Linked DNA regions of Saccharomyces cerevisiae S288C. The gene in region 3 interacts genetically with the main gene of each other region. Each region holds a gene or a part of one and is shown on either strand. Other genes may lie near its edges. The genes, in order: ARE1, ERG3, ARV1 and OPI3.

Region 1 (8,380 bases), on a different chromosome or scaffold from region 3:
CATTGGTGTGAGGGATGGTGGCCGTCTAAGAACAAATATTTGCTGCTATACTACCAAATGGAAAAATATAAGATACACAATATAGATAGTATTAAAAAAACGTGTATACGTTATTGATAGAAATGACTATACATTTTGTCGAAAATTTTTCATTTTCTTCTATTTCCTCGTTGTAATGACTCTTTTGTTCGCACGGTCACTACTCACGAGGAGGCGTGCAATAATTGCAGAAAGAATGAGATCATACAGTGATGTTATAGTCTTCCTTGGGAGTACAGTAGTGAGATATTGCCCATTAGTGACCTGTCATTGTTGTTGTTACTGTATATGTCACTCGTTCTTGCAGCATCTTCATTGAAGTATTGGTCGCCCTGCAGCACAAGCTCGTTTTGCTTGGAAGACCATAAGTAGTGAGTCAGCGTTTCTCTTGGATGCAAAGACAGTTCGTGGAAAAACTGGTATTTTTGAGCACTAGAGTTCAACTGCAAGGCAAGCTTTGTGATTTCACGTAGTTTTGCTGTGTCTTCAGCATCTGTTTCTTCCTCTTTTTGTAAATTTGGCTGGGGTTGAGGCTGGTGGAGAATGTGCGACACATCTACATCCAAGGTGGTAGCACCATAGGTGGTATCTTTGGAAAGATCAATTGTATAATCTAGGATGATGGGCGGTAGGGGTGATACCAGTTTGTTCACGGTTTGCACAACATTCATCAAGGGGAGGTGCGCGGCGTTTGTATCCAATACCTTTTGTAAGAGTGAATCTAGCTTCACTTCACCCAATTCGGGCTTATCCTTTGGAGTACTTCCCTCGACGCCATCATCGTCACCAGCACCGTTTTTATTGTTATTCTCGTTACTGCTGTCTTCGGCATCGTTGGAACCATCTTGAGCCTCTGTTTGTTCCGTAACAAACAGATTGTTGATCAAAATGTACTTGTAGATCGAATAAACCGCGTCATTAACGGAGCCCGTTTGCATACCTATCAAGGTAGCTAAGTTGGGCGAGTACTGTACTTTTCCACCGTCGACACCCCTCAACTGGATGGTTATACTGCATCGCAAATTATCCTTGCCTTGCCTCTTGATGTCGATACCATCAAACTCCACAACGTTGTTTTCATCGTAGTTCCATTCCAGTGCGTCTACAATTTCCTCCCTGGATTCTGCCTCTGCACTGTCCTCATCCTCGCCGTTGTCGTTATCGCCCATGGTGCTATCTTGATCATTGTATTCGGGTTGTTGCAGATTCAAAGGAAGGCTCAATGACGAATCGCGTTTCCTCTTCTTGCCCATGCCCAGCGGTTTCAGTCTTTTAAAGTCGACCGCGACACCTTCCAAAAACTCACTAAATGGGTGCTTTCCGTTTGCGGACTCGTGCAGAAGCTTACCTTCTATTCTCAGTGTCCATGTAGTCTTGCCTGAGTCCGCTGGGGTGCCAGAATCGCTGCGAGGGCTGCTTTCCGTAGTGTTGTAGACGTAAATCCTCAGCATCTCTTTATTGGGGGGATGGTCCTTGGTCTTGGTGTTTGTAGGTAAATTGATGGACGTATCCAGCCTCCTTCTTGTCAGATACAAATCTAGTCTGGAATCCATTTCTATCAATTTTTTCAAATCTGCCAGATTGGAGACCTTATCATCGGGCAGATACGTGGGGATATAAGCATCCGTTGGATATGTAACAGGGACCGGATTGGTCTGTGTTACCATTTCTATGAGCTGTTTTTCGTGCTGTATTACTATACGAAGCTGCCTTGTGAACTGTATATTTGTTGCTTTTCTTTCACTCTACAACGTTTTTTTCATTCTATTTAAAAACGCGGTGAAATTTTACCTTGTAAGAACGTCTATTAATGTACAGAAAAGATACATAAGGGAAAAGACTATGTAAGAGAAAGAAGTAGTTCATGTAGCGTCGCGTTCAATTTCTTTTAGCAAGCTGTAAGAGCCTTTGTGCTGGGTCGTTATTTTCTTCTCTTGGAATCTGGTTCGTCCCCGGAACCCGCCATGGAGCCCTGGCCCAGCATCTGCTCTCTGACCATAGCACGGATGTACCTTTCCAACTCCTCCTCAGCGTTGTCTCCCGTAATGATCTGTTCCAACTGCCTCCTGCGTTGCAGAGTGGCCTCATCGGCTCCTTCCTCAGGGTCATTTTCCAAGGTGTATCTCACGTTGTCCTTGAACTCTTCCAGCAATTTGCTGTCGATGACACCCTCACCCTGCACGCCGTCCACTCCGTGAACATCGGCCACGCCGGACTTAATCCTCATGTACTCGATTAGCTCACCATCTTCACCGTTCTCGACGAACGAGTCGTATGGCGTTTGGCCCTCCACATTCCTGATAGTGAAGTCTCCACCCAGCTCTTCCACGATCAACCTGGCAGTGGCCACATCCTCCACATGGTGCAACGGGGTATCGCCGTCGTTGTCCAACACATTAATGTCTCCATTGTACTCATTGCACATTTTCTTCAGCAAATCCAGGTGGCCGTATGCGGCGGCAGCATGCATTGGAGTGTAGCCGTTAATGTCCTTGGATTGCGGGGTCATGGCGCCTTTACTCTCGCGGAGGATATGTTCCACTCGGTCCAAATTACCATCTGAAGCAGCCACCCATATATTAGCGTTCATTTTGTCGTCACAACACCTATAATCATCGATTTTTGTCACCTGCAAACTCTTCTTGTTCTCAATTATATCAAAGGCATCGAAAATTTTTGGGGTTATGACAAGGAAAAAAAAAGTATTACCCGAAACTTAAACAATGAATGGTATATACTATATTGTAAAGTTCTAATAATATATATAAATATGTATATAGATATATATATAGACCTAGGAGCTCTTTGCCCCTGTCTTTGACCACGGTGGAGCGGACGCCCATTCCCTATTGTATATCTATCAAGGGCTTGCGAGGGACACACGTGGTATGGTGGCAGTTCATAAGGTCAGGTACAACGTCATAATGATACTGGGCCCTGAACAGACACCAAACGAAAAGACAACGTTGGACAACTGCGGTCTTGCCCGTAGAAACTTGGTGTTGCTCAAAGCAGTCCACACAAACTGCGACAGTTGGAACATGAACAGATATCCTCTAACCCTTCTGAAAATGGCGAACATGGCCATTTCGTGGAACACGGCACTCAAGAAAAAAGTAAATAATGTAGCTTGGCTCTTGCTCAAATGCAATGCGCCCATGGAGCTGTGGTACACGTGTCTTAGTAAAAATTTGTGAACGGGGACGTTCCAGATTCTGCTAAACTCTTCAAACGAAACGCAATTCCACCAGTCGCCGTAGAAATATCTGTCCGCAAACCTGGTCAACTCCGCCACGCAATTCAATAAAGCGTCCCATATCATGTAAAACGTGAGCATGTACAGAACAGTGAAGCCCGGAATCATGTCGAAGAGCAGGTGGAACCACTCTTGCGTGGCGGGGATCCAGCCGCCGAAGGTGGGCGTGTTGTGGAACTGGATACAGCGCATGGCCACCGGGTGCATGAAGAACTGTGCCGTGACCATCATGAGGAAGATGGTGCCAATGATGGCGCACACCTTCTCCAACACATACCTCCATCTGATGCGCGACGTTCTTGGGTAGTTGATCTGGTACACGAGGACGGGGAACAAACAGAACATGAAGAAATTGCTGCAACTGATGTTGTTGGGGAAGTCGTTATCCTTGGTCTGGTAGTTCAATTCGAAAAGGCAAAAGTCGCAACTTTTTTGCAGAATCTCGCGGGTCTCTGGGGACAAAGATTCCTTGTATTTTTGCAACTGTTTGGAAGAGTACTCGAGTTCCTGCTTTATGTCCCAAAGATACCCGTTGTAAAAGGCAAACGAGTGGCTCTTCATAACAAACACCACGGAGTGCAGGAACAGGAAGATTCTCGTGACCCAGTTGAAATCAAAGTAGTAGACGTAAATGGGGAACGTCACGGGGATGAAAGCCAACTCGAAGATGCTCACTGCAACGAACCCAGTCCACTTCCAGTTGATGATCCGCTTTTTCACCAGCCAGTGCACGAAAACCACGAAGAAAGTGCACAGGAACATTGCCAAGTCCAACATTGCGATCGTGAACAAGTCCGTTGTCATGTACTGCACGATTTCCAGCTTATTCCATGCACTGCCGTACGACGCATAGTAATCTGTGCAGCACCTGATGGCTATCCAGCCCAAGAACATCCATGCGAACACGTAGATCCCTGAAAAGTTCGACTCCAGTTTTTCTCCTGGGGGGGCATCTGCCTTGTCCGTTTTCTCCGTAGTCTTCACCGTAGTCTTCACCGTGGCCTTGGTCTTGGTCTTTGTCAACTGTAAATTTTTGAGCTGTTTCTCCAGCACCGGACCTTTGAAAGTCGTCTGGAAGGGCACGTTGATGGCGCTGTCCAGGAGCGTGGGGCGAGGATCAAAACTCACGTCCCCAAAAAACGACACATACTTGCTAGCATCCTTTCGGTGGAACCTCGACCGAGACTTGCTCTTCAGGTGTGAAAGGTACTTTTGCATGTGGGCGTCCACAGGGTACTCCTCCTCCTGCTCCTGCTTCCCTGCCACACGTTCCGCCTCAGTCGACTCCACTCCTTCAGTCGACTCCACTGGCTCCACCAGCGACGTGGTAGACGACCGTGGCGAAACCTCCATGGACTCCTGTGGCAGGATCACGTTATCGTACGTGACCGAATGCCGTTTGTTGGCTTCTGCGGAATTGAGTCTGCGGATCTTAAGAAACTCTTCGTCTTGCAACAAATCCTTAGTCTCCGTCATTCTTGCAATCTGTTTTGGCGCTCTTGCTGCAAGCCGTGCTGAACAACCACCTGCGTGAGTGTGCCAATGGCGCCCCTTTCCTCCACCACGCTCGTCCTTCTTATATCATCCGCATGTTGCCAGGGTCTGCTGGGTGCTATTGTTCGCTAAACGAGTCCAACCACGGCCGGGTATTTGATGGCCAAGCCAGATTTTTTTTTTTTTTTCACTCTACACCATCTCACATTTTTCAATTTTATCGATAAAAAGAAGAGATGAGCAGCACATACATAGTGTGATAAAGAGGAAAAAAGCAGAAGAAGCAGAAGAAGAAGAGCATAGTAAAAAAGTAGTGCTAAAAAGGTGCGGTACGGAAACACAGGAAATATATCAGAGAAGAAATAATGTCACGTCCTGAGGAGTTGGCACCACCGGAGATTTTCTATAATGATAGCGAAGCACACAAGTACACGGGTTCGACCAGAGTGCAGCATATCCAGGCGAAGATGACGCTGAGGGCGTTGGAGCTTTTGAATCTGCAGCCGTGCAGTTTCATTCTGGATATCGGGTGCGGGTCCGGACTGTCTGGGGAGATTTTGACGCAGGAGGGAGACCATGTGTGGTGTGGTTTGGATATATCGCCCAGCATGCTTGCGACCGGTCTTAGTAGAGAGCTGGAGGGCGACTTGATGTTGCAGGATATGGGCACCGGGATACCGTTCCGGGCGGGCTCGTTTGACGCGGCTATTAGTATCAGTGCGATCCAATGGCTGTGCAATGCGGACACTTCATACAACGATCCTAAACAGCGGTTGATGAGGTTTTTCAACACATTGTATGCTGCACTGAAGAAGGGAGGGAAATTTGTGGCCCAGTTCTACCCGAAAAACGACGACCAGGTGGACGACATACTGCAGTCTGCCAAGGTGGCAGGGTTCAGTGGCGGGCTTGTGGTGGACGACCCAGAGTCTAAAAAGAATAAGAAGTACTACCTTGTGTTGAGCAGTGGGGCCCCACCGCAGGGGGAGGAGCAGGTGAATTTGGACGGTGTGACCATGGACGAGGAGAACGTCAACTTGAAGAAACAACTGCGCCAGCGCTTGAAGGGAGGCAAAGACAAGGAGTCTGCCAAGAGTTTCATTCTAAGAAAGAAGGAGCTCATGAAAAGACGTGGGAGGAAAGTTGCGAAGGACTCCAAGTTCACCGGGAGGAAAAGAAGACACAGGTTCTAGAAGAAACACACATCCTCACACGCATATTCTTTTGTATACTATAAAAATACACACTTATACATTTCCCTCTGTCTCTGTCTCCTTCTACATGTATACTTGTATATGTATACTTGTATATATACACTTATATCTGTATGTGAGTGGTCAATGGCTCCGCGCACTTTTATGTAGTGATGTATTTTCCTTTTTTTCTTGGTTTTCAATTTTGGTGCTTTGGAACTCCCAGTAAAGAAGAAGAAGAAGAATCGAGTCTTCCCTCTGAGCAGCTGCTGAAAGGGAGAGAGAACCATAGCGATGTGGAGCAGGAACGTCAGATTGCTTGGATCATGGACAAGGTCCTACATGGTCCCCGCCACCAAGAGAAAAACCATCCCCGTGTACCCACCTGTGCAGCGCATAGCTTCGTCGCAGATTATGAAGCAGGTGGCCCTCTCAGAAATAGAGTCTCTGGATCCCGGGGCCGTTAAGAGGAAGCTCATCAGTAAAAAGAACAAGGACCGCTTGAAGGCAGGCGACGTGGTCCGGATTGTGTACGACTCGTCCAAGTGCTCGTACGACACCTTTGTTGGCTACATCCTTTCCATAGACCGCAAACAACTGGTGCAAGACGCCTCGTTGCTGTTGCGGAACCAGATAGCCAAGACGGCCGTCGAGATTAGAGTGCCATTGTTTTCGCCGCTGATCGAGAGAATCGACTTGCTAACCCCCCACGTCTCGAGCAGACAAAGAAACAAACACTACTACATCAGAGGTACAAGGTTGGATGTCGGCGACCTCGAGGCAGGTCTAAGAAGAAAGAAATAGGCTAGGCGCGGGTTCTGTGGCCACCCATCTCCTGTATATAAGAAAAATAGTGCGTGTATAAAATCTACGTATACTAACTATGGGTAAAGTAAACCTTTTTGTACTGTTTTCTTTTTTTTTTTTTTGGTTTCCCGTAGTGATGACGTACGTGTATAGAGAATTGAAGCGAAAATAAAAAAAACGACACAAAATATTGTTCTCATTGGCTTTTTTATTTTCTATTTTACACAGCATATAGAGGTATACTCAAGTGCTAGACATCCTCTAACATCCGCCAAGAAAAACAGCAAAAAAACACTGGTCATGAAGCCACAGTGCATACTCATCTCTTTGCTGGTCAACCTCGCATACGCAGAGGAGTATTTGGTGAGGTTCAAAAATCCCACAGCATTCCAACAATTCACTTCGAATTCCAACAGGTCATGGAGACAGTTCATCGACAACAAAATTGAGAAGAAATTCTCCATCGGATCCTTCCGCGGCGTGACCATGAACCTGTCCAAGAACTTAGTGAACAAGCTGAAGAAAAGCCCACTGGTGGCTGATATTGTGCCCAACTTCAGGTTCGAAGCTTTTGAAGGCGACAGTGTAAATAGCGCCGAGTCGAGTTATACGTTTAACGCTACCGCCAAATACTCGTACGAAGACGTCGAGGAAGAGCAAAATATAACGTATCAACCAGACGCACCCCGTCACTTGGCCCGGATTTCCCGCCACTACCAACTCCCATTCGACGTTGGGGACAAGGACCGCTACAAAAGCTGGTTCAATTACTACTATGAACACGACTATCAAGGTCAAGACGTCAACGCCTATATCATGGATACGGGTATCTTCGCGGACCATCCGGAATTCGAAGACAGAGTCATCCAGGGGATTGACTTGACCAAAGAAGGGTTTGGCGACCAGAATGGCCACGGAACGCACGTGGCGGGACTCGTAGGTTCCAAAACGTATGGAGCGGCAAAGAGGGTCAATCTTGTGGAGGTCAAAGTCTTGGGCAAAGACGGGTCTGGCGAGGCCAGTAACGTTCTTAGTGGTCTGGAGTTCATCGTGGAACATTGCACAAAGGTCAGTCGCCCACAGGGTAAAAAATGCGTGGCCAATCTAAGTCTAGGGAGTTTCAGGAGCCCCATAATCAACATGGCAGTGGAGGGGGCCATTGAAGAAGGTATTGTATTTGTTGCCGCGGCGGGGAACTTCAATTTAGACGCCTACTGGGCCTCACCTGCGTCTGCAGAAAACGTTATCACCGTAGGGGCCTTTGATGACCACATTGACACGATTGCCAAGTTCAGCAATTGGGGGCCCTGTGTAAACATCTTTGCCCCAGGCGTGGAAATTGAGTCGCTATCTCATCTGAACTACAACGACACTTTAATTTTGTCAGGTACATCTATGTCGACGCCCATTGTCACCGGAGTTGCAGCGATCCTACTCTCGAAGGGAATTGAGCCTGAAATGATAGCACAGGAGATTGAGTATTTGTCCACGCGTAATGTTTTCCATAGAAGAACGTTGTTTTTCAAGCCTTCTACGCCAAACCAGATTCTTTACAACGGCGTCGATAAACTGGACGATCCATATGACGACG
Region 2 (7,875 bases), 370 kb from region 3:
AGACACAATCCCGCTTTACAAGCACGTAATCCAAAAAAAGAAGCTGCCCACACTGCTTATAGTGATATCAAAGAGAGCATAGCTCAATTGCAATGGTACATGGACAACTACTTGAAGCCACCACAGGAAACAGAGTCGGTCGAGTCAATCGGATCTGAACAGCCGGAGTCACCATCTTCATCTACCTCATCTTTGAAAAGACAACGCACCGATTTTTAATGTAGAAAAAAAAAAAGAAAAAAGAAGTGAAATTTTTCAAATATTTCACACACGAAACATGACTCCTGGTGAGAAATGACCCTTTCAGGTTGCTTTGACCATAAAGGTTTGACTCTATCTCTTGGGTTTCTCATGTTCGCTTTTTACTCTGTATAATTTTTAAATTCATAATCATCTTAGACCGAACCATGAGTCTTCTTCATCTTGTTTTATATATAATGCAGAACTTGCTTCCCTTAGTTTGCGTTCAGTAATCTTTCCTTCTTCTAGTGTAACCTTTACGAAAGATACTACCCCATAGCAAAGCATAACAGCTTAAACCGAATCCTCCTTAACATGCCTTACACTCTATCCGACGCTCATCATAAGTTGATCACCTCTCATTTGGTGGACACCGACCCTGAAGTGGACTCCATTATCAAGGATGAAATTGAAAGACAAAAGCACTCCATCGATTTGATTGCTTCTGAAAATTTCACCTCAACCTCCGTTTTCGATGCCCTTGGAACTCCATTGTCCAACAAATACTCTGAAGGTTATCCAGGTGCTCGTTACTACGGTGGTAATGAACACATTGACAGAATGGAAATTCTATGTCAACAAAGAGCTTTGAAAGCTTTCCATGTTACTCCAGACAAATGGGGTGTTAACGTCCAAACTTTATCTGGTTCTCCTGCTAACTTGCAGGTTTATCAAGCTATTATGAAGCCTCATGAAAGATTGATGGGTCTATACCTACCAGATGGTGGTCATTTGTCTCACGGTTACGCTACTGAAAACAGAAAAATTTCTGCTGTTTCCACATACTTCGAATCTTTCCCATACAGAGTTAACCCAGAAACCGGTATTATCGACTACGATACTTTAGAAAAGAACGCCATCCTATATAGACCAAAGGTTCTTGTTGCTGGTACTTCAGCATACTGTCGTTTAATTGACTACAAGAGAATGAGAGAAATCGCCGACAAATGTGGTGCTTACTTGATGGTAGACATGGCCCACATTTCTGGTTTGATCGCCGCAGGTGTCATCCCATCTCCTTTCGAATACGCTGATATCGTTACCACCACCACTCACAAGTCTTTGAGAGGTCCACGTGGTGCTATGATTTTCTTCAGAAGAGGTGTGAGATCTATCAACCCTAAGACCGGTAAGGAAGTTCTATACGACTTGGAAAACCCAATTAACTTCTCTGTTTTCCCAGGTCACCAAGGTGGTCCACACAACCATACCATTGCTGCTTTGGCCACTGCTTTGAAGCAAGCTGCCACTCCAGAATTCAAGGAATACCAAACTCAAGTCTTGAAGAATGCTAAGGCTTTGGAAAGTGAATTTAAGAACTTGGGCTACAGATTAGTTTCCAACGGTACCGATTCTCACATGGTTCTAGTATCCTTGAGAGAAAAGGGTGTTGATGGTGCTCGTGTTGAATACATTTGTGAAAAGATTAACATTGCTTTGAACAAAAACTCTATTCCAGGTGACAAATCTGCTTTGGTTCCAGGTGGTGTCCGTATTGGGGCTCCAGCCATGACCACTAGAGGAATGGGTGAAGAAGATTTCCACAGAATTGTTCAATACATTAACAAGGCTGTAGAATTCGCTCAACAAGTTCAACAAAGCTTGCCAAAGGATGCTTGTAGATTAAAGGACTTCAAAGCCAAGGTCGACGAAGGCTCTGATGTTTTGAACACCTGGAAAAAGGAAATTTACGACTGGGCTGGCGAATACCCATTGGCTGTGTAAAGAAATCACCACAACGACACTTAATCCCAAAAAAATAAACATTACTGTATAAGTATTCATTTTCTCCTCTTCTCATTATGTATATATGTACCTATATGTATGTATGTATGTGCGTACGATTTTTCTAACGTTAACTTCATTTCTTTTTGATTATGTGCCCTCCTTGAGTTAAGATGTGTTTGTCCAGGGAAACCTTGTCACCATCGCTGAATAGTAGCAAATAGTATTTTAATGTTCTGGAGAACCAATAGCTAGGTAAATCATTGTTCACTTTTTCACCGTTTTCATAAAATTCCTTTATTTGCCACAATCCTTTGGCACCACTGTTTAGTTCCATTAATTCTTGCATTAAGATTCCAAAAGACTGCTTACCCATGCTTCTCCATTTTTGTTCTCCACTGATTCTGTACATATAAAATATAGATTCAATGATATTCGAATCCAACAATCTTCTGGATTCTACCTTGTTGACCCAAAATGGCCAGTCTGGATGGTTTTTCCACTGAGAACCCATGGTATCGTCCGTTGTAATATGCGGTTTGATATCCTTACCAAGCGTAAAAACTCTACGTATTTGCGTTACTTCGTCGCCGTCTATTTCAGCAATCGATTTCGAGCTTCCAACAGTATCACCTTTTATGTTTTGAGTCTCTGTTATCCCATCTTTGCTTAGTACATTTCTCTTAGCTTTCTGGTCATTCCCACCTTTCCCATAATTCGAAACTTTGATCCCGACATCTAGGTCATTTTCAAAAGTTTCATATTCGCCGTTGGCAATCATTCGTGATTTAGTTTCGCCGTTAAACTCGCAATTCCCATTAGTCTCATCAGTGCAAGGGTCCAACTCGAATTTTTGAGGGAGCAGCCCGTCGAACTCCTCCATTAGCATAAAACAACTTTCTGTTATTATTTCGCTCATTTCCAATAGTGACGATGGTAAAATATATTTCGTGTTGACACCGCCTCGGTGGGGAACACGTGAACTTAAACCTAGAATGCCGCCAAGTCTGCATGAGTATAACGAGACATCGTAAGATTTTCTTATCGTGACATCTAGCTCATTAGTCGTGGGCATGAATTGAGATTTTGTTAGAATGGAATTCAGAAAATTAAACTTTTTGTTTTCCGTTTGCTTGGGCAACATGGGTCGAAAAGTCATGAATTTAAAAATGTTACTGATGGAATTTGTTAAAAACGTTTGCGAGTCTATTAATGATTTATCACCTACGGTGTTTTTTGTCGAATCTTTTTTAGTACCGTCTTTAAAGTTTCTTTTCTCAATTATTTCGTCGACTGCTTCTACCTCTGAACCAATACTGGGGTCCATCGTTGCAGCATTAGCATTTTTACTTGAGCCGTCCAGGATATCATAAGAAGATTGGAAGAGGTCATTGATTTTGAATAGATTTTCTAGAATGGGTACTGTTTTTTCATTAATTCTATAAGCCTGGTATTGAGATTGTTCTTGGAGGCTATTATCATCTATTGGAGGATTTAAGAATTTCCCTAACTGCTGACAGTGTACGAACTTGAAATTTTCATTGATACTTTTCATGATGCTGGATCCCTTTAGGTGTGCACCATTCTCAATTTCCTCTTGAGTTAATAACTGGCAACCAGAGGCATCAACGACGTCAGGCAGCATAAACTCCATATCAAATTCGTTATATGATTGACGTATAGTGGTGAAAACTCTTTCAACAGCATCAAAATACTTATTCAAACGGGTTAACTGTGACAATCTGATAAACGCGAGTGCCATAGTAGTCAATTGACCTGATGGAACAGTACGGTCTGGAAATCGATTTCTCAGATCAGATTTCCAAAAATATTTCAAAATAGGAATTCTATTAGGGGTATCAAATGATCTTAATATGAAATCTGCAACATGTTTTGCTTTGTTAAGTAATCGTTTATCCATAGATAATTCGTATGCAGACAGTAACCCTTCTAGGACACGGGTAGTGATGTCAGGAATATCAATAACTTCCATTGCTAACGGAGGTACTCGAAAGTCAAAATCTTCTATTATATTAACAGAATCTTGAAAAAGTTTCGTCTCGCCACATAGATACAATGTATCTAGAGAATCAATTAGATCTATGGGCCAAGTAGATTCCCTTCTGAGGTTACTTTTCAGCAGCAACTGCTCTTGGTTCCATGATTTCATGAAAATGTCCTTTATCTGTTTTATCATATCAACATCTGGTGGCAATTGCATTGCCGGCTGTATCTTATGAACGTCATTCTGGCTTATAGAAGTTAAGGAAGGTGATGAGTATTCGAACAAGACGGGATACTTTTCCTTATATGTCAAAAGAGACGAAATTGGTAAATTCGAACCAATCTGGTGAGACGATCCCTTTAACAGCAAGGGAAAGTACTTGTTTTTTTCTCTCAATGTAGCTGGATCTGACAAATCCACTGCAACGTTGCCATTTTCCTTGTCGGTGGCTATTCGGTCAGAACCGGTTGACGATAGGTCTGGAGGATCCAGTTTCGAAGAACCTTCTGTATTGTGCTCATAGTTGTTTATGGACGGTAGTGAGTCGTTTAAAGCGTACGAATTCAAGATATCGATTTCATTCTGGAACGTATAGTAAAACAATAGCGATATGGTAATGAAAAGTAAGAGAACCGATCGTACTCTTCTGAAAAGAGAGTATACTAATCGCGCTATGGACATAAGGTTTTGCTTATAGAGTAGTGGCGGCCTTTTTCTAGTTAACACTTGCGCTTCACCGAAATCTTGGGCATTTTAAAGCTTCCAGCTTCCTATTTGCCTGTTCTTAAATTTTCCAGCTCTTCGATTTTCTGTTTTTTTTTTCACTAGAATAGGAAAAAGAGCCATTAAATGAACGCAAAAATTTAATATACGAATAGCGCATATTGCACTAACGTGAGGTGTACATCATAATGATATGCGTATCTTAAAACATGTATGTGTATATAAATATATAAACGTTATTCGTTGTGTGAAAGTTCTTGAACGTGAAAGAAAGAAAAAAGATGAGACAAACAAGGCAACCGTATTCAGTTGTTCTTCTTGGTATTTGGGTCGTTTTCATAGATTCTATCATTATCATCACCTTCGACCTCCTTGATGAAATGTTCAACTTCCTTAACTTGAGCGTCCCAGGTCTCCTTAGCATCTCTTAACTTAGGATCAAACAATGAGTCATCTGGTCTACGGTAAGAACCCCCTAGTCTGTCCCACAGAGTGGTGAATTGACCGTAGTTGTAGTTGAAATATAGATGGTGAACCGTGTGGCAGGCAGTACCGTTGACGGCAGGATTGTTTGATAGGTATTGACCGTCATGAATCATAACAGTCCAAAAGTTAACAAAAGTGAACAGAATCAAATAAGAAACCTTGTGTAATGGCAGAATCAATGGGTAGATGTGGTACGAGATGGATTGCAAAAACCCGTCTACAGGATGGAAAGAATGAGATGCGAAAGGTGTGCAGACCAGCCACTTGTGATGAGGCTTGTGCAGAGCACGGTAGACCCTTGGCCAATGCAACCATCTGTGCGCTAAATACACACCGCAATCAGTGAAAAAGATGAAAGTGAAGTACTCGATAATGAGCTTCCTTACACCGTGGTTTTCATAATCAATCTTCATGTATAGTTTAGAATGGCCGTTCAATTCCATAACAAACCATGGAACGGTCAACATCGACATCCATGGGATAGCACTGACTGCCAACTTGATTTCCATTGCCATTTGGTTTTTCAAGTAACGAGGATGGTTGAAAATCGACTTGTCAAACACAAACACGTAGCTGAGACTAGCCGTGAATAAGTAAAGTAGTAAACCAAAGATCGTAACAATAACCCATAGTGAGAGGAATTCTCTCAAGATGCTGGAACGAGGCAATAGCGATGCAAAAGACGTCGTCGACATATCAAACAGGAATGGCACCTGCCCGTAGAACCTTCTACATTCTTTGACGGCATTCTTGGAGTTCAAAGTCTCCTGCAAAATCGTAGAATTGCTGAACCCACTGTTCAACCCTAGCAATTTCTGCCACTTGACAGGAATATTAGCTGCCAACGAAGCGGGCAGAACTTTAGCGTACAAGTCGTCTAAGACATAATGGTCAGCGACTTCTAAGACCAAATCCATATCTCAAATCTAGACGAATATTTTTCTTATTATCTTTTTTTACAAATGCAACAAACTGACCTCCTCTGCAACCACTTCAAAGAACAAGACAAATGTAAAGAATGAATGAACAAGTGAATGAAAAAACGAATTGATAAGAAAGATAGAAATCCGCCTCTAATATATACCGCGATGTTTCTTTCGACCGTTACATAATAGCAGCAACAACAATACCCGATCGCTGCTGAACCTCTTGTTTCAATGCACCTGCTGTTCTTCTTCACCTTCTATTGTGCCACTTATACGAGCCTGAATTTTTCGTTTATCGCAGCCATCGGCCTCGTATACACCCCGGTTGCCCTGGGGCGCAACTAAACGACCGAAATAATGCCCGGGAGTTTTCGGGTGGTCTGCCCCGGGCACCGATCTCGGTCGTTTAGGCCGCAGTGGGTCGTGCCACACGGCAGCGATGCAAGGGACAACGCGTCGTAACTTGCGATGCCCGACAATCGCAACAAAAGGCGTCGTTTCGCGGTTTTTTCGTATCATTTTTTTTTTCAGTTTTTCTTCTTTCGGCTATGAAAAAAATGGCAGAGCTGCCCTAATCTATTTTTATGGATGCCCTAATATATTGTCACTCTGTACGTAGGGCTTCCAGAATGCCCTTTCAGGAAGGATTCTAGCATAATAGACGCATCATATATTATAGCGTAGTGGTGCCAGATGCTGGGCTGTAAAAGGCTGTAGCAGTAACTGTAGTGTACTAAAGGCTCAGTTTTTTTTTTTTTCTTCTTTTACGTAATGGACGAGGTTGACGATATTCTAATTAACAACCAGGTGGTGGATGACGAGGAGGATGACGAAGAGATGCTGAGTGGGCTGGAAAACGACTCAAAGCAGGACCTCGAGGGGAATGATGACGGTGGTGAAGATGAAGAGGATGACGATGATGATGATGAGGACGATGATGATGACGAGGACGAACGAGAGGACGACGATGAACAGGAGGACGACGATGGTGAGGACGACGCCGCAAGAATGGATAAGACTGCTACACCGACGAATGAGCACCAGCATGATGAGCAAAAGGCTGCTGCTGCTGGTGCTGGCGGTGCAGGCGATAGTGGCGATGCTGTTACTAAGATTGGATCCGAGGATGTGAAATTGAGCGATGTTGATGGAGGAGTGGGGTCCAGGGAAGCATCTTCCTCTACACACGAAGCCTCTGCTAATGGAGAGGTTTATGAGTACTATAAGCACATGTTGAATGCCGCACAGATTGCGGATTCGTACAATATCTACCCCACGGCAGCCATACCCATCCAGACGCACGTCAATGCGTTGGCCGTGTCCAGGGGTCTCAAGTACCTGTTTTTGGGCGGTAGCGATGGATACATAAGGAAGTACGACTTGCTGAACACGCTTGAGGGGAAACTTTCTCTAACTATCCTGCAGAAGCATTCGTTGGCTGAGTCTATTCAGAACGCGGGTATCTTGCAGTCGTACTGGGAAAATGAGATCCCGCAGAAAAAATCAGAAATGAAACTCTCCGCTAATAAGACAGATTACGAGCCCAAAGTTAGCCCCGTTCATTCTTTGGAAGTCCAAAGCGAATGCCTCTTTATACTGAGCGGGCTACAGAATGGTGGGATTACCATGCAGGGCGTTCGCTACATGGAGGGGAGCATTGCGCACTATTTTAAGGGCAGGAATGGACATACCCAAATCGTTAACATACTGAGATTAAACGGTCAAGAGGACAGGTTTTTGAGTGGTTCCTGGGATAAGCGTCTTTTGGAA
Region 3 (7,800 bases):
TTGTGGAGGGAAGTGGCGATGGTGACAATCATTCAGCTCCCGAACGTACAAATGTGTACCTCTGGATGTATGTTCTCTTCACATATTTCTTCACCTTCATAGCAATTAAAATGGCAGTTGCGGAAACAAAGCACGTCGTAAGTACTAGGCAAGCTTATCTTGGGAAGCAAAATACGATTACTGATAGAACGATAAGGCTCTCAGGCATCCCGATAGAGCTTCGTGATTCGGAAGCCTTAAAGACCAGAATTGAACAATTAAAAATCGGCACCGTTTCATCAATCACTATTTGTCGAGAGTGGGGTCCTTTGAACAAGCTATTTCATTGTCGGAAGAAAATACTCAAAAACCTGGAATTAAAATATTCAGAATGTCCAAGGGAGCTCCGTACTCGACAACCATATTCGGAGAACTATCATTTATTGGGAAACGAGCAATCAGGCGCAGTTACACATGGAGAAAATGTTCCATCAAGCAATAATAATGACGAGGATACTATACTATATTCTCAAATTTCTCTTGGAGAGAGACCAAAAATGAAAATTGGATATCGTGGTATCTTTGGGAAGGAAGTAGATGCCATAGAGTACCTGGAGCAGCAATTAAAATTTATTGATGCTGAAATTATTGAAGCGAGGAAACAACACTACTCCGCAACACCTACGGCATTCGTTACGATGGATTCTGTTGCTAATGCGCAAATGGCAGCTCAGGCGGTATTAGATCCTAGAGTACATTACTTCATAACCAGATTGGCTCCTGCACCTCACGATATCAAGTGGGATCATGTTTGTCTTTCTAGAAAGGACCGGTTAACAAAAGTTTATTCTACTACCGTATTTATAGGCCTTTCAAGTTTGTTTTTAGTCATTCCTGTATCATACTTAGCCACATTGCTAAATTTGAAAACACTTTCGAAATTCTGGCCAAGCGTAGGGCAGCTACTAAAAGATCACCAGTGGGCCGCTAACATTGTAACGGGGCTATTACCAACCTATCTCTTCACATTGCTTAACTTTGGAATCCCCTATTTTTACGAGTATTTGACTTCTTATCAAGGATTGGTATCATACAGCGAAGAGGAAATCTCACTTGTTTCAAAAAATTTCTTTTATATTTTTGTCAACCTTTTCTTAGTTTTCACATTGGCAGGTACAGCATCTAATTACTGGGCGTACCTCAGCGATACCACCAAAATTGCTTATCAACTTGCTACATCTGTGAAGGAGTTCTCCTTATTCTATGTCGATTTGATTATATTGCAAGGTATTGGTATGTTCCCGTTTAAGTTGTTATTAGTTGGTAGTTTGATCGGCTTTCCTCTAGTGAAAATCAAGGCTAAGACACCTAGGCAACGGAATGAACTTTACAATCCACCGATATTTAACTTTGGACTACAATTACCACAGCCAATTCTGATTTTGATTATAACGTTGATCTACAGTGTAATGAGCACGAAAATTTTGACTTCAGGGCTGGCGTACTTTATTATTGGGTTTTACGTCTATAAATATCAATTGATTTTTGCCACAGATCATTTGCCCCATTCTACAGGAAAAGTATGGCCATTAATTTTTAGAAGAATCATCGTTGGATTGCTATTGTTTCAATTAACAATGACAGGAACACTGGCAGGATTCGAAGGAGGATGGGTTTTGTCATCTTGCCTTTTCCCGCTTCCAGTAGTGACATTATGTTTCCTATATGATTTCGAGAAGAACTATTTGCCGTTGTCAAAATATATCGCATTGAGTTCAATTCGCGAGTACGAAAGAGACAATTCTACGGTGAATTCTGCCAATGAGGAAGAGTCGTATGCATACCCTTACGCTGTGAGTGAATTAGAGGGTCCGATGTTGGATTGAAATCCCAAGGTGCTATTTCTATATTTATATATTTTGTTGTGAAAATGCCAAAATAAGATTTTTGATACAAGTAATACTGGATATTTTTTTATTTGCTTATAACAATAAATAAGTTCCTGACTTCTGTAGTAGTAGTATAAACTCCTGATGTATTAAATTCTTAATAACTGAAAAGTTAAACTTTGCCACGAAAACTATAAGTATTGGCTTAACCATGAAATATCGTAATAAAGACACACTTATAAAAATCTTTATGATATTCCAATAGGAAAGATTAGTTACAATCTTCAACGATTCAATAATATAGAGATTAGCTACCCACTTAATGATACTCATCGAAATTAGAGTATCATAAGGCCATATCAACATCAATATCGGAAAAATTTTGGCACCGTACGATAATAAGATCGTATATGATATGACATCCTTTGAAGAAACGGAATAGTGCTTCCAATGCAACTTTTTCAGTATGAAATACTGGGTAAAGGTGTGGAATAAAGAAACGTCAAGAATACAATAACTTGCAAAGTAAAGATATTGTATTGGTGGGCTCCAGGTAAACACTTTACTTGTAATGGTATTGCGCATGATTGCCGAGTCCCATTTGAAGCTCTCTGGTAATTTTTTTGAAAGCATGATGAGCTTACCATCATTATTGTTACGGTTCAAATAGTAGATGTATTTACTCTCCTCAGTAACCCAAGTTAAATAAATCTCGAATGATAATAGTAGAAGCCAAAGGCGATTTAACCGGTCATATTTACAAAACCAGTTCTTTACGTTAAATAACAAAGCTTGCGTATAGTCACGCAAACACTGGCAATCATTTAGCGCTTTTCTTTTCGGATATTTTGAGAGATGCAATTCCAAAGCATTGAATACCAAGTGTCTATATGCACCTGCTTTTAATAGAAGCAAATCAATGAATAACAGGACATTATCTATCTCAACATATTTGTCTACTGTCTCTTGGCAATATGGACAATCTGTCAGCTGAATGTGGTCATTCGAGTACACTGTATAAAGGGAATCTACGGGCCGCATGCACGTTATGCAAATCATCGTTTATCACAGCTAATATCTACTTTTTGATGCGCTTCATCCGTTCACTGACGCACCAAACCTTCCTTCTATGCAATGACAAGAATTTCTCAGCTTGATTTATGCCATTGATGTTTCTGAATCATCAATTGTTCACATAGGGCTATTCAATTTGGCCCGCTGTCCCTAAACTGAAAAAATACTAAGAAAAATTTTGCAAAAAATCTAAAATGATGAGGTGAAAGATCAAAAAAGAAAGATCAATAATTAAGAGGTTGGCAAGTCATCCTGATCGTGAAAAAAACTTAACAAGTACAAATAGAGTAATCAGCATTGGAAAATGTCTCGCGTTGGTGTCATGGTATTAGGACCTGCAGGTGCGGGGAAAAGCACATTTTGTAATTCCATTATATCACATATGCAAACTGTAGGACGAAGAGCTCATATTGTAAATTTAGACCCTGCCGCAGAAGCTACCAAGTATGAATTTACTATTGACATTAGAGATTTAATTTCCTTAGATGATGTCATGGAAGAAATGGATTTGGGCCCCAATGGTGCGCTAATATATTGCTTCGAATATCTTTTGAAAAATCTAGACTGGCTTGACGAAGAGATCGGGGATTTCAACGATGAATATTTAATCTTTGACTGTCCCGGTCAAATTGAACTCTACACGCATATCCCTGTCTTACCGAACATAGTGCGCCATTTAACTCAACAACTGAATTTCAACCTTTGCGCCACATATCTTTTGGAAGCGCCATTTGTGATAGATAGCTCAAAATTTTTTAGCGGTGCACTATCTGCTATGTCTGCGATGATTCTATTGGAACTACCCCATATCAATGTGTTGAGCAAACTAGACTTGATAAAAGGCGACATCAATAAGAAAAAACTGAAAAGATTTTTGAATCCCGATGCAATGTTATTAATGGAAACGGAAGGAATGAATCAAGCATCCAACCCTAAATTTCTAAGACTGAACCAGTGCATAGCCAACCTCGTCGATGATTTCGGTATGGTTCAATTTTTACCTTTGGAATCTAATAATCCTGACAGTATAGAAACCATATTATCGTATGTCGATGATATAACACAATGGGCAGAAGGACAAGAACAGAAAGAGCCTAACGACCAAATAGATGTCGAAGAATAGTTATAGAGAAAATTATGTACGCTTGATTCATATAAAAAGAGGTAAAAAAAAAAAATAGCTTCTCATAATAACCAATTCGGACTCGGGAAAGTACAAGTTCAAGTTTTTTATTGGTTTCTATATGTATAAGATAAAAATACCTAGATCTATTTAATTCTCTGTCTTGGGCCACCTGGTGATTTCTTATTCCTGGCTGTTAGGATTTCAACACCATGTTCGGTAACCAACAGTGTATGTTCAAATTGAGCACTCAGTTTACCGTCTTGGGTGGTAGAAGTCCAGTCATCAGGCCAGGTCATATCCTTCCAAGTACCTTCATTAATCATAGGTTCGATGGTGAAAACCATACCTGGTTTCATAACACCAGGTGTTCTATTCTTGGCGTAGTGGGGAATATTTGGGGAACAATGGAAAAATTCACCAACACCATGTCCACAATAAGTTCTTACTACACTGCACTTATTTTCGGTAGCGTGTTTTTCAATATGATCACCTAACTCTTGGAAGGTGGTACCTGGCTTACACATTTTAATGGCTAGTTTCAAACATTCTCTTGAGGTCTCAGTAGTATTAAGAGCTTCCTTAGAAATGTTTTCGCCGACATAATATGTCTCATTCAAGTCTGCATGATAACCTTGGTAGTATAAGGAAACATCTAAATTGACAATATCACCTTCCTTCAAGACAGTTTTATCGGGCACACCGTGACAAATAACTTCATTGACAGAGGTACAAAGCGATTTAGGAAAGTTGTAATAATTAAGAGGGGAAGGGTAGGCACCTCTCTTAATTGTTTCATTGTGGACGATTTCATCTAATTCATCTGTAGTGATGCCTGGTCTGACATGGGCAGCGGCAATATCAAGAACTTCTCTACCCAACATACATGCCTTTCTAATCTTCTTAATTTGATCTTTCTTGTATATAGGGATGTTGTTAAGTCTATCATTTCTTTGTTCACTGACTGGTAGCCCATTAGCGGCCCAGTCCGGTTTAGGAATATCTTCAGGGACATACCTTCTTGGGGTAAGTGGATATGAAGCCTTCACTTTACCAGAATATTTGAATTTTGGGAAAGGATCATAAGCACCTTCCAAGCCGTCCTTAGCATTGTGCAAAGCTTTGTGAGCTTTGTAGTTGTTTTCATAACAGCTTGTGTCGCAGAAAATGGAAACGATGCCTTGTTTTAGACAAACAGGGCATTTCATTTGGGACGAAGTTTCTCTACCACATTGCAAACCGGAGCAATATATCTTGGTAGGATGAGAAGCCTGATCGGAGGTAGTAACTGTTGTAGTTGCAGTGCTCATTATACAATTTTTTTGCTTATTTTTTTCTTGCTAGGAATATACACAATAGCGTTCTTGGGATGAATAATAATAATATCAGTTTTTCTTCTTTATATGAAAAATGAAAAAAAAAAAAAATAAGTAAAAAATTTTCGCTTTCTTTTCGGGGAGCAGCCAAATAAAGATTGCTGCTAGTTTAAATGAGATGGACCAAAAGCCATGGGCAGCAGTTCTCCCATTGTCATGACTTTAGAACGAGAACCTGTGGAATTAAGCATGACTATTGGAAAGTCCTTGACCACAAATTCATTGATAAACTGCCTGCAAACGCCGCAAGGGGAAACACACTGGTCCTCAGAATCGCCACAAATGACCATGCATTTCCATCCTGAGCGATGGCCTGCCATTAGAACTTGTATCATAGCAGATCGTTCTGCACATATACAATTACTGTAGCTTGCATTCTCGACATTAGCACCAGTGAAGATAACATCGTTATTTGTTAATATGGAACAACCGACACGGAAGTGAGAATAGGGGCTATAGGAGAGTTCACACGCCTTCAGTGCCGCCCTTTTTAAGGCTTCCAGTTGTCTGTCTTCTATGCCACCTACTTTCATTACCTTATTTCTCTGCTTGAGATTCTCTGTTTGGTTTTCCTAGTTTCTTGTACATAAACAGTTTGTGTTTATTTTGTCAAACTACTCGGAAATTGGCGAGCAGCGCCTTATCAAGATTACAGTTTGCAAATATAAAAATGTAAAGGAAAGAAAGCGTAAGGTAACAAGAAGAGAAACGGGGAAGATAATGGCCTTGGTCTCTAGAAGGTCGACAAGATCGGAAAGCACCTCAATAACAAAGGAAGAGCATACAGGAGAAGGTTCATTGACGAAGTTGTTCTTCCGATGGCTTGTTACCTTGGAGGGTGATCAGGATATAAACGATGGAAAAGGTTATATATCGTTACCGAATGTCTCGAATTATATATTCTTCCTTGGTGGCAGGTTCAGGACAGTAAAGGGCGCCAAACCGTTGTGGTTAGGTGTTCTCCTTGCTATTGTATGTCCCATGGTTCTCTTCTCCATATTTGAGGCTCACAAATTGTGGCATACCCAAAATGGTTATAAAGTGCTGGTCATTTTCTTCTATTATTTTTGGGTCATAACGCTAGCATCCTTTATCAGAACAGCCACTAGTGATCCTGGCGTTCTTCCGAGAAATATTCATTTAAGTCAACTAAGAAATAATTATCAGATCCCGCAAGAATATTACAACTTGATAACACTACCAACACATTCTTCAATTTCAAAAGACATTACTATCAAGTATTGTCCATCATGTAGGATATGGAGACCACCTCGGTCTTCTCACTGTTCCACATGTAACGTCTGCGTAATGGTTCATGACCACCATTGCATATGGGTCAATAATTGCATAGGAAAAAGGAACTACCGGTTCTTTTTAATATTCCTGTTAGGTGCAATACTTTCGTCCGTCATATTATTAACTAATTGTGCCATCCATATTGCACGGGAATCAGGGGGGCCTCGCGATTGTCCCGTTGCAATATTGTTACTTTGCTATGCAGGGCTAACCTTATGGTATCCGGCAATACTGTTTACTTATCACATATTTATGGCAGGTAATCAGCAAACAACAAGGGAATTTTTGAAAGGTATTGGATCGAAAAAAAACCCTGTATTCCATCGTGTGGTCAAGGAGGAAAACATATATAATAAGGGGTCCTTTTTGAAAAATATGGGTCACTTGATGTTAGAACCAAGGGGCCCAAGCTTTGTAAGTGCCAGAAAGCCACATGAAGCTGGAGATTGGAGATTTATGGATTTATCGCCAGCACACAGCTTTGAAAAAATACAGAAAATATAAGGAAGTATAGATATAAAGAACTCAGCGACACAGTAGTACGTAAAATATAAAAAGGTTACTGAAAGGAGTGAATTCCGCCATAGTATAGGTTGAGTATACGCAAATAAACGTTGGAAATTGGCTAGAATGTTAAAAAAAACATTCATTAAAAGGTTCTTTTCGTATAACTTTTACAACAAATAAGTGGTTGTTTGGCCGAGCGGTCTAAGGCGCCTGATTCAAGAAAATATCTTGACTGCAGTTAACTGTAGGAATACTCAGGTATCGTAAGATGCAAGAGTTCGAATCTCTTAGCAACCATTATTTTTGCCTTCCGAAAATTTTGAAGCTACATATTAGCACTCTTCTTCAGATGTCAGACAACGTGCAGCATCTTTTTTTCCTACCATTGAATATATATATAGTAATTACGGCAACCGTTTATATAAAAATTCAAAAGATTAAATATTTTAATATATTAGTGTCTGGTTTAAAAGTCATACTTCTCTAATCACTACCGTGAAAAAAGCAGTTCCATAAGTGTTCATTACTGACTTCTTGGTCTACCACGCTTATCTCA
Region 4 (7,458 bases), on a different chromosome or scaffold from region 3:
GTACCAAACTGAAGTCTTCTGATATACTTGGTTCTCCAGTCAGCTCTTTGAGCGTCTTCCTCAACTCCAACTATCAACCCAATGTCGGATGGCGACAACTCTTCAGGAATCCAGTTTGGAATTGGCTGAACAGGGAACGTGTCGATGTCAGCATAAACACCTCCATGAACTAACAGTATTAAGTATTTGAAAAAATCTATCTTTAGGATGATGGAGGGCAGAGCTTCGTAAGTCTCTAGGATTTCCGGTATGGAGTAGAAGTAGTGGTGTACTAGTGCGTTTATCACGTCATGGTTCAACACTTCGTGCGCAAAGCCCGGATTCTTGCTTTCCCACATGCCCTTTATATCTTGAACACGCTCGGGACCTTCATCATTGGACCAAGTTTGCCAAATAAATGCTGGGAACTTGACATGGGAATCGTAGGGGAAAGTCATAGCTATGCGTTCTCTTAGGGTGGCCTCCGGAGGTGTTTGTTTCAAGTCTTGGATTTTTTTTTCCAGGATCTTACGTTGTTTATCAAATTGCTTTGCTTGAACTTCCTGTTGGTGTCTGATCTCCTGAGCCAAACTCTCAAAATGTTGAACTAGATCAGAATCCGAACTCTGAATATTGTTGGCACTATTAATGCTTTGGGAAATCTCTTTGGGCAAGTTCTGCAGAATTTTTTGTAAATCAGTAGCATTAGAATTGTGAAATAGGTATCTAACTCCAAATGCTAATGAGATGAGGGCTATTATGGCGAATATCATCAACCTCCTGAAACTGGAGGCTCTTTTTGTTGTTTTGGCCATCGTTAACCGCTACAGTCTATATATCTATCTGCTGTCTTCCGAGTAGAGTGCCTCTTCTCTGCAAGAATACGTGCAAAATGGAAAGAGAGGAATGTTCATTATGGTCACTGTTATTTTTTCACTTTCTTCGCTGCTGGGAAATTTCGTTATACTTATCGGAAAAAACATGTAATACGCTATATAGTAGAAATAAAAAGGTAATATAAACATAAGGTTAAAATTTGAAAGATTAAGCAAACAGCGACGTGTCCACAACGTGAAACTTCCGTACCATTTCTTGCAACAATTGGTAAACAGCATGACATCTTGCAGGCAACTCTTTGTTGCTTGCTTGCGACGCCTCCTCCTTTGTCAAAGGTACATTAATGGAGATGACCACATCCGTGTCAAACTGGGTTAATCTGATCAACGCTACGCCGATGACAACGGTCTGTGCCAGATCTGGTTTTCCCCACTTATTTGCTACTTCCATAACGAGTCCGGTGAACTTGGTTCCTTGCTGAACAGTGTCTTCTTGTAAAGCTTCCCATTTGGTGGTCCCGTTCAACTCCGTCAGGTCTTCCACGTGGAACTGCCAAGCCTCCTTCAGATCGCTCTTGTCGACCGTCTCCAAGAGATCCACGATAATGCTTTCATTGGTGGCTAGTCCATCTTCGAATTCTTCTTCATCGCGACGGGAATTGACGTACACCTCCTGTGTATCGGGGACTTCTCTTAGAGTAGAAGCGTCTATAAACCCAGGTGGGACGACAGTAGTGATGGCGCCGCCGTATAATTCGACTTCCTTGTTGTTCATGCTTCCTTGATGACCAGGGTAGGTGTCAATGAGAGTGCATGTGGAAAGTTGCACCGGTTGTGAAATATGAGAAGCCTTTTCAATCTTCATATGCAAACCCACACATGCATCGTTGGTTTCTGTCCACTGCCACTGCAATGACCACTGGATAAGGGGTCTTTATAAGAGAACACATATGAAGAACATGAACGTTCTTGGACAGAGCCATAAACAGCAATTGAAGACAACAAGAATAGCGCAAGTCAAGCGATGAAGGAGTCAGTCCAAGAGATCATCCAGCAACTCATCCACAGTGTCGATTTACAGTCTTCCAAGTTCCAGCTGGCCATTGTGTGCACGATGTTCAATCCTATCTTTTGGAACATCGTTGCAAGAATGGAATACCACAAGCATTCTCTCACCAAGATGTGTGGTGGGGCCAGAAAGGGCTGTTACATGTTGGCGGCGACCATATTTTCGCTAGGTATCGTCAGAGACATGGTGTACGAGTCTGCATTGCGTGAACAGCCTACGTGTTCTCTGATCACGGGCGAGAACTGGACCAAGCTGGGTGTGGCTCTCTTTGGTTTGGGGCAAGTGCTTGTTTTGAGTTCCATGTACAAGCTGGGTATCACAGGGACGTACTTGGGTGACTATTTCGGCATCCTGATGGATGAGAGAGTCACCGGCTTCCCCTTCAACGTTTCCAACAACCCCATGTACCAGGGTTCCACTTTGTCCTTCTTGGGCATAGCCCTTTACAAAGGAAAGCCTGCGGGGCTGGTTGTTTCTGCCGTAGTTTACTTCATGTACAAGATCGCTCTTCGTTGGGAAGAACCTTTTACTGCCATGATCTACGCTAACCGTGATAAGGCCAAAAAGAATATGTAAGTGCTCTATTTCTATATATTCTATAATGTTAGAAGCCTATGCTATTACCGTTTCTATATAGCTCCATAAGCAATTTCTTCGCGAAAGTGAAAAAAAAAAATTTTAATGCGATGCTCTATTTAACAAGGAATACAATGAGAGCATCTAGCGCACACAAACAACTACAAAACGCAATAACGACACAGCAAGAATGAGTCTCAGCACAATCATATGTATTGGTATGGCCGGATCCGGTAAAACAACTTTCATGCAAAGGTTAAACTCCCACTTGCGGGCAGAGAAAACGCCACCATACGTAATCAATCTTGATCCTGCAGTATTGAGAGTCCCCTATGGTGCAAACATCGATATCAGAGACTCAATCAAATACAAGAAAGTGATGGAGAATTACCAGCTAGGTCCGAACGGTGCCATTGTCACCAGTTTGAATTTGTTCAGCACCAAGATTGATCAAGTTATTAGGTTGGTGGAACAGAAGAAGGACAAGTTCCAAAACTGCATCATCGACACTCCAGGCCAAATCGAATGTTTTGTGTGGAGTGCGTCGGGTGCCATTATCACGGAATCTTTTGCCTCCAGCTTTCCCACAGTGATTGCATATATCGTGGATACGCCTAGAAACTCATCCCCAACTACATTCATGAGTAACATGCTGTACGCCTGCTCCATTCTGTATAAGACCAAACTTCCCATGATTGTCGTTTTCAACAAGACCGACGTGTGCAAGGCAGATTTTGCTAAGGAATGGATGACGGATTTTGAGAGTTTCCAAGCAGCAATCAAGGAAGATCAAGACTTGAATGGTGACAATGGGCTGGGCTCCGGGTACATGAGCTCATTGGTCAATTCTATGTCACTGATGCTTGAAGAATTCTATTCCCAGCTAGACGTCGTGGGCGTTTCCAGTTTTACCGGAGACGGATTCGACGAATTTATGCAATGCGTAGACAAGAAAGTTGATGAATACGACCAATACTATAAGCAAGAACGTGAAAAAGCATTGAACCTAAAAAAGAAAAAGGAAGAGATGAGAAAGCAAAAATCATTGAATGGCCTGATGAAGGATCTAGGGTTAAACGAGAAGAGCAGCGCTGCAGCCAGCGACAACGACAGCATAGATGCCATTAGCGACCTCGAAGAGGATGCCAATGATGGTCTTGTGGATAGGGATGAGGACGAAGGCGTTGAGAGAGAATACACGTTCCCAGGCGAAGAAAGAACAAAAGGTGAGGTCAACGAGAACTCTGCTCCAGACCTACAAAGGAGATATCAGGAAGCTATGCAACAAGTAGGGAAAACGGCCAGTAGCGAGACTGCAGAAAATATCGCGAAGTATATTAGAAACTAAATAACTACGTATAGTCCTTTGGTTCGGCGATCATTCGACCCGCAGAGAAAAAAAAAGACAATGGAATTGCAAAGACGAACGTCAGATAAACTCCCACGTTTATTATCTTTTGAACAATAGAGGTAATCCTTCCACAGAAATCCCTGTAGAATGCAGTGAGAAACAAGAAAAAAAAAAAATTTTTTTTTTTTCTCTATCCTGCGTGGGAGGAAAGAAAATTTTTCTCGATGAGCTGAAAAGTTTTTATCATATAAATTACATAAGGCAAATCCAGTGAATACACGTGTATATTTGACGGTAGCTCTAGGTTTAGGTTAGGATAAACTGTAGTCCTTCTAACATACCACGCAAGAAAGAAAAAAAAAAACATGTCTACTAACTTTGAAAAACATTTCCAAGAAAACGTCGATGAATGCACTCTAGAGCAACTAAGGGACATCTTAGTCAACAAGTCCGGCAAAACAGTTTTGGCCAACAGATTTAGAGCTCTGTTCAACTTAAAGACTGTTGCTGAAGAATTTGCCACTAAGCCAGAGGAAGCCAAAAAGGCCATCGAATACATTGCCGAATCCTTCGTCAATGACAAGTCTGAGTTGTTGAAGCACGAAGTGGCCTACGTGTTGGGTCAAACCAAGAACTTGGACGCTGCTCCAACTTTAAGACACGTTATGTTAGATCAAAATCAAGAACCAATGGTGAGACACGAAGCCGCTGAGGCTTTGGGTGCCCTAGGTGACAAGGATTCGTTGGATGACCTAAATAAGGCTGCTAAGGAGGATCCACACGTTGCTGTGAGAGAAACCTGTGAACTGGCCATTAACAGAATCAACTGGACCCATGGAGGTGCCAAGGATAAGGAAAACTTGCAACAATCCCTATACTCGAGTATTGACCCAGCCCCACCTCTACCATTAGAAAAGGATGCTACCATCCCAGAACTACAGGCCTTATTGAATGATCCTAAGCAACCTTTGTTCCAAAGATACAGAGCCATGTTCAGACTGAGAGATATCGGTACTGATGAAGCAATCCTGGCCTTGGCCACTGGTTTCAGTGCAGAATCCTCCCTTTTCAAGCATGAAATCGCCTACGTCTTCGGTCAAATAGGTAGTCCGGCTGCTGTCCCAAGTTTGATTGAAGTTTTGGGCAGAAAGGAAGAAGCTCCAATGGTTAGGCATGAAGCTGCTGAAGCCTTGGGTGCCATTGCTTCTCCAGAAGTTGTCGACGTCTTGAAATCTTACCTCAACGATGAAGTCGATGTCGTCAGAGAATCTTGTATCGTTGCGCTAGATATGTATGATTACGAAAACAGCAACGAACTAGAATATGCTCCAACTGCTAATTAGAAGAATCAGCATCATCAATAATGATAGTAACAATAATCATTGTATAATCTTGTATTTTATACTTTTCAAAACCCGCCATTTCCGTTATATATACAAATGTATCAAATAGCAAAAAAATTATTTATTTTCGAAACCGTTCTCTCGAGCTTCAGCTTTCAACACTGGTCTTCAAAGCATAGGAAACACTCACATAGAGATATCTAAAAACGAACGATAGCAGAATGAGCAACAACGAAATTGTATTTGTCACTGGCAATGCCAACAAGTTAAAGGAAGTGCAGTCGATTTTGACTCAAGAGGTCGACAACAACAACAAAACCATCCACTTAATCAATGAGGCCTTAGACCTGGAAGAATTGCAGGACACGGATCTGAATGCCATTGCGTTAGCTAAGGGAAAGCAAGCTGTTGCGGCCTTGGGTAAGGGTAAGCCAGTGTTTGTGGAAGACACTGCGTTGAGATTTGACGAATTTAACGGTCTACCAGGTGCTTATATAAAATGGTTTTTAAAGAGCATGGGATTGGAAAAAATTGTGAAAATGTTGGAACCCTTTGAAAATAAAAACGCTGAAGCAGTTACCACCATTTGTTTTGCTGATTCTCGGGGTGAATATCACTTCTTTCAAGGTATTACAAGAGGCAAGATCGTTCCAAGCCGGGGACCCACTACATTCGGCTGGGATTCAATTTTTGAACCTTTTGATAGTCATGGACTGACTTACGCAGAGATGAGCAAAGACGCAAAGAATGCTATTTCTCATCGTGGTAAAGCCTTCGCTCAGTTTAAAGAGTACTTGTATCAAAATGACTTTTAGGTGATGTGCTGAGAAGATAAGAGGAATTATGGATAGATTTTTTTTTTTTTATTCTTACTTTATGTCGCCTCTATATTCAATTATATAAAGATGCCTGTATATTAGAGTTGGGATATTTTAACCAATAAGTTTAATAATTGGATGTGCTCGTTCGTTCCGTTGTTTAATCTGGAATCCGTAGTAAACAGCAACCAAGATATTTGATTTTTGAAGTTCGTATCAAAGTTATCGTTGGTGATGTAATATTCATGTAGTTGGTTAACTACTGACGCAGCAGACCAACCGCTTTTCATAAACGTATTGACGTATTTCTTAATCTCATCAAAATCACCACTTTTGACTTTTTCAACAATTTCTATTAGAATGTCATGAGGTACCACACCAGCTAATTCTTCCACTTGGGTAGAAGTTATGTTTTTACCATCACCCAAGTATTGCGCCCCCTTGGAAGCGGATTGTAATAATGTAATGCCTCTTCTCAAGTCACCTGCCGAAATGTCCAAGATCCTTTCCAAAACTCCATCATCACATTTAACATTTTCTTGTTCGCTGATAAACCTCAAACGGTCAATGGCATTACTTGCGTCTAGGGCTTTGAATCTAAATTTGGAACAACGGGACGCTAGCGGGTCAATAATTCTTGTCACATAATTACAAATCAAACAGAATCTTGTTACTCCTGAATAGGTTTCCATTGTTCTACGTAATGCACTCTGTGCATCGGCAGTCATTGAATCGGCCTCATCGAGAATAATGATCTTATACGGTGGGCACGGATAGTTCTCCAAGTCATGTTTGCTAGGCTTGGATACAGTCAATCTTGCAAAATTTTTTACCTTTTCTCTTACAATAGAGATACCACGTTCGTCAGAAGCGTTCAACTCCAATATTCTTGATTTCATCAAGTCGGGTCCATATAATTCTTTTGTTAGCGCTAAAATGGTAGACGTTTTACCAGTTCCTGGGGGACCATAAAACAACATATGTGGTAGATTAGCTGACTTTAAGGTTTTCTTCAAAACAGTAACGGCATGATCTTGAGCTGTCACTTCATCTAGGTTTTTGGGCCTGTATTTCTCAACCCAGGGTTGTTGTGCCAATGATTGCTCTGCGGCTAACTTTGATATCTTACGCTTTTTATTTGGACCAAACCCTTCAAACATCTCAAGTGATTGCCAATACTTTCCCCCAGTATTTCTCGCTGTCTCTCTATTTTACTTCTCTTATAGCATTGACTTGTTCGCTTGAGTTACTTCCTGATTGCTTTGAAATACGCGAAGTAAAAGAGTGAAAAATAACGATGAGAAAGGTTTTTGATAGAAGAGAACAAAAAAGGAACAGTGTTACAATAGTATATAGAGATGTCGAATACTTGGGACGATGTATGGGCATCAGACAGTGATGTCGAAACTGAACGATCTCCAGATTTAGTGAAGTTAAGAGAGAATCATAGCAAGAGGGGGTACTTGGACGGAATAGTGAGTTCTAA

What was found.
Region 1: mutations in ARV1 (region 3) and ARE1 together harm fitness more than expected from each alone (negative genetic interaction), as found in Saccharomyces cerevisiae (5 studies listed by BioGRID, with this or other methods).
Region 2: mutations in ARV1 (region 3) and ERG3 together harm fitness more than expected from each alone (negative genetic interaction), as found in Saccharomyces cerevisiae (5 studies listed by BioGRID).
Region 4: mutations in ARV1 (region 3) and OPI3 together harm fitness more than expected from each alone (negative genetic interaction), as found in Saccharomyces cerevisiae (5 studies listed by BioGRID).

Annotation. Positions count from the first base shown.
Region 1 is NC_001135.5:208,320-216,699, reverse strand, and holds ARE1 (sterol acyltransferase), read right to left. Parts: upstream 4,772-8,380; coding exon 2,939-4,771; downstream 1-2,938. Other genes in the region: threonine synthase THR4, read right to left, coding at 1-3; RSC6 (Rsc6p), read right to left, coding at 255-1,706; YCR051W (uncharacterized protein), read right to left, coding at 1,961-2,629; YCR050C (uncharacterized protein), read left to right, coding at 2,928-3,236; BUD23 (18S rRNA (guanine1575-N7)-methyltransferase), read left to right, coding at 5,155-5,982; mitochondrial 54S ribosomal protein bL19m IMG1, read left to right, coding at 6,277-6,786; RRT12 (Rrt12p), read left to right, coding at 7,090-8,380. UniProt on the Saccharomyces cerevisiae protein: Sterol O-acyltransferase that catalyzes the formation of stery esters.
Region 2 is NC_001144.5:252,082-259,956, reverse strand, and holds ERG3 (C-5 sterol desaturase), read right to left. Parts: upstream 6,097-7,875; coding exon 4,999-6,096; downstream 1-4,998. Other genes in the region: REX2 (Rex2p), read left to right, coding at 1-219; glycine hydroxymethyltransferase SHM2, read left to right, coding at 556-1,965; putative mannosidase MNL2, read right to left, coding at 2,102-4,651; SAGA complex subunit SPT8, read left to right, coding at 6,877-7,875. UniProt on the Saccharomyces cerevisiae protein: C-5 sterol desaturase; part of the third module of ergosterol biosynthesis pathway that includes the late steps of the pathway. ERG3 catalyzes the introduction of a C-5 double bond in the B ring to produce 5-dehydroepisterol.
Region 3 is NC_001144.5:620,957-628,756, forward strand, and holds ARV1 (sterol homeostasis protein ARV1), read right to left. Parts: upstream 2,928-7,800; coding exon 1,962-2,927; downstream 1-1,961. Other genes in the region: CSC1 (Csc1p), read left to right, coding at 1-1,865; putative signal sequence-binding GTPase GPN3, read left to right, coding at 3,247-4,065; methionine aminopeptidase MAP1, read right to left, coding at 4,212-5,375; CDD1 (cytidine deaminase), read right to left, coding at 5,546-5,974; palmitoyltransferase ERF2, read left to right, coding at 6,162-7,241; E3 ubiquitin-protein ligase IRC20, read right to left, coding at 7,728-7,800. UniProt on the Saccharomyces cerevisiae protein: Mediator of sterol homeostasis involved in sterol uptake, trafficking and distribution into membranes. Also regulates the sphingolipid metabolism. Required for growth during anaerobiosis and sterol uptake.
Region 4 is NC_001142.9:567,317-574,774, reverse strand, and holds OPI3 (bifunctional phosphatidyl-N-methylethanolamine N-methyltransferase/phosphatidyl-N-dimethylethanolamine N-methyltransferase), read left to right. Parts: upstream 1-1,839; coding exon 1,840-2,460; downstream 2,461-7,458. Other genes in the region: HOC1 (alpha-1,6-mannosyltransferase), read right to left, coding at 1-794; Ran GTPase-binding protein MOG1, read right to left, coding at 1,024-1,680; GTPase NPA3, read left to right, coding at 2,651-3,808; LIA1 (deoxyhypusine monooxygenase), read left to right, coding at 4,177-5,154; nucleoside triphosphate pyrophosphohydrolase HAM1, read left to right, coding at 5,376-5,969; RFC2 (replication factor C subunit 2), read right to left, coding at 6,071-7,132; YAE1 (Yae1p), read left to right, coding at 7,331-7,458. UniProt on the Saccharomyces cerevisiae protein: Catalyzes the second two steps of the methylation pathway of phosphatidylcholine biosynthesis, the SAM-dependent methylation of phosphatidylmonomethylethanolamine (PMME) to phosphatidyldimethylethanolamine (PDME) and of PDME to phosphatidylcholine (PC).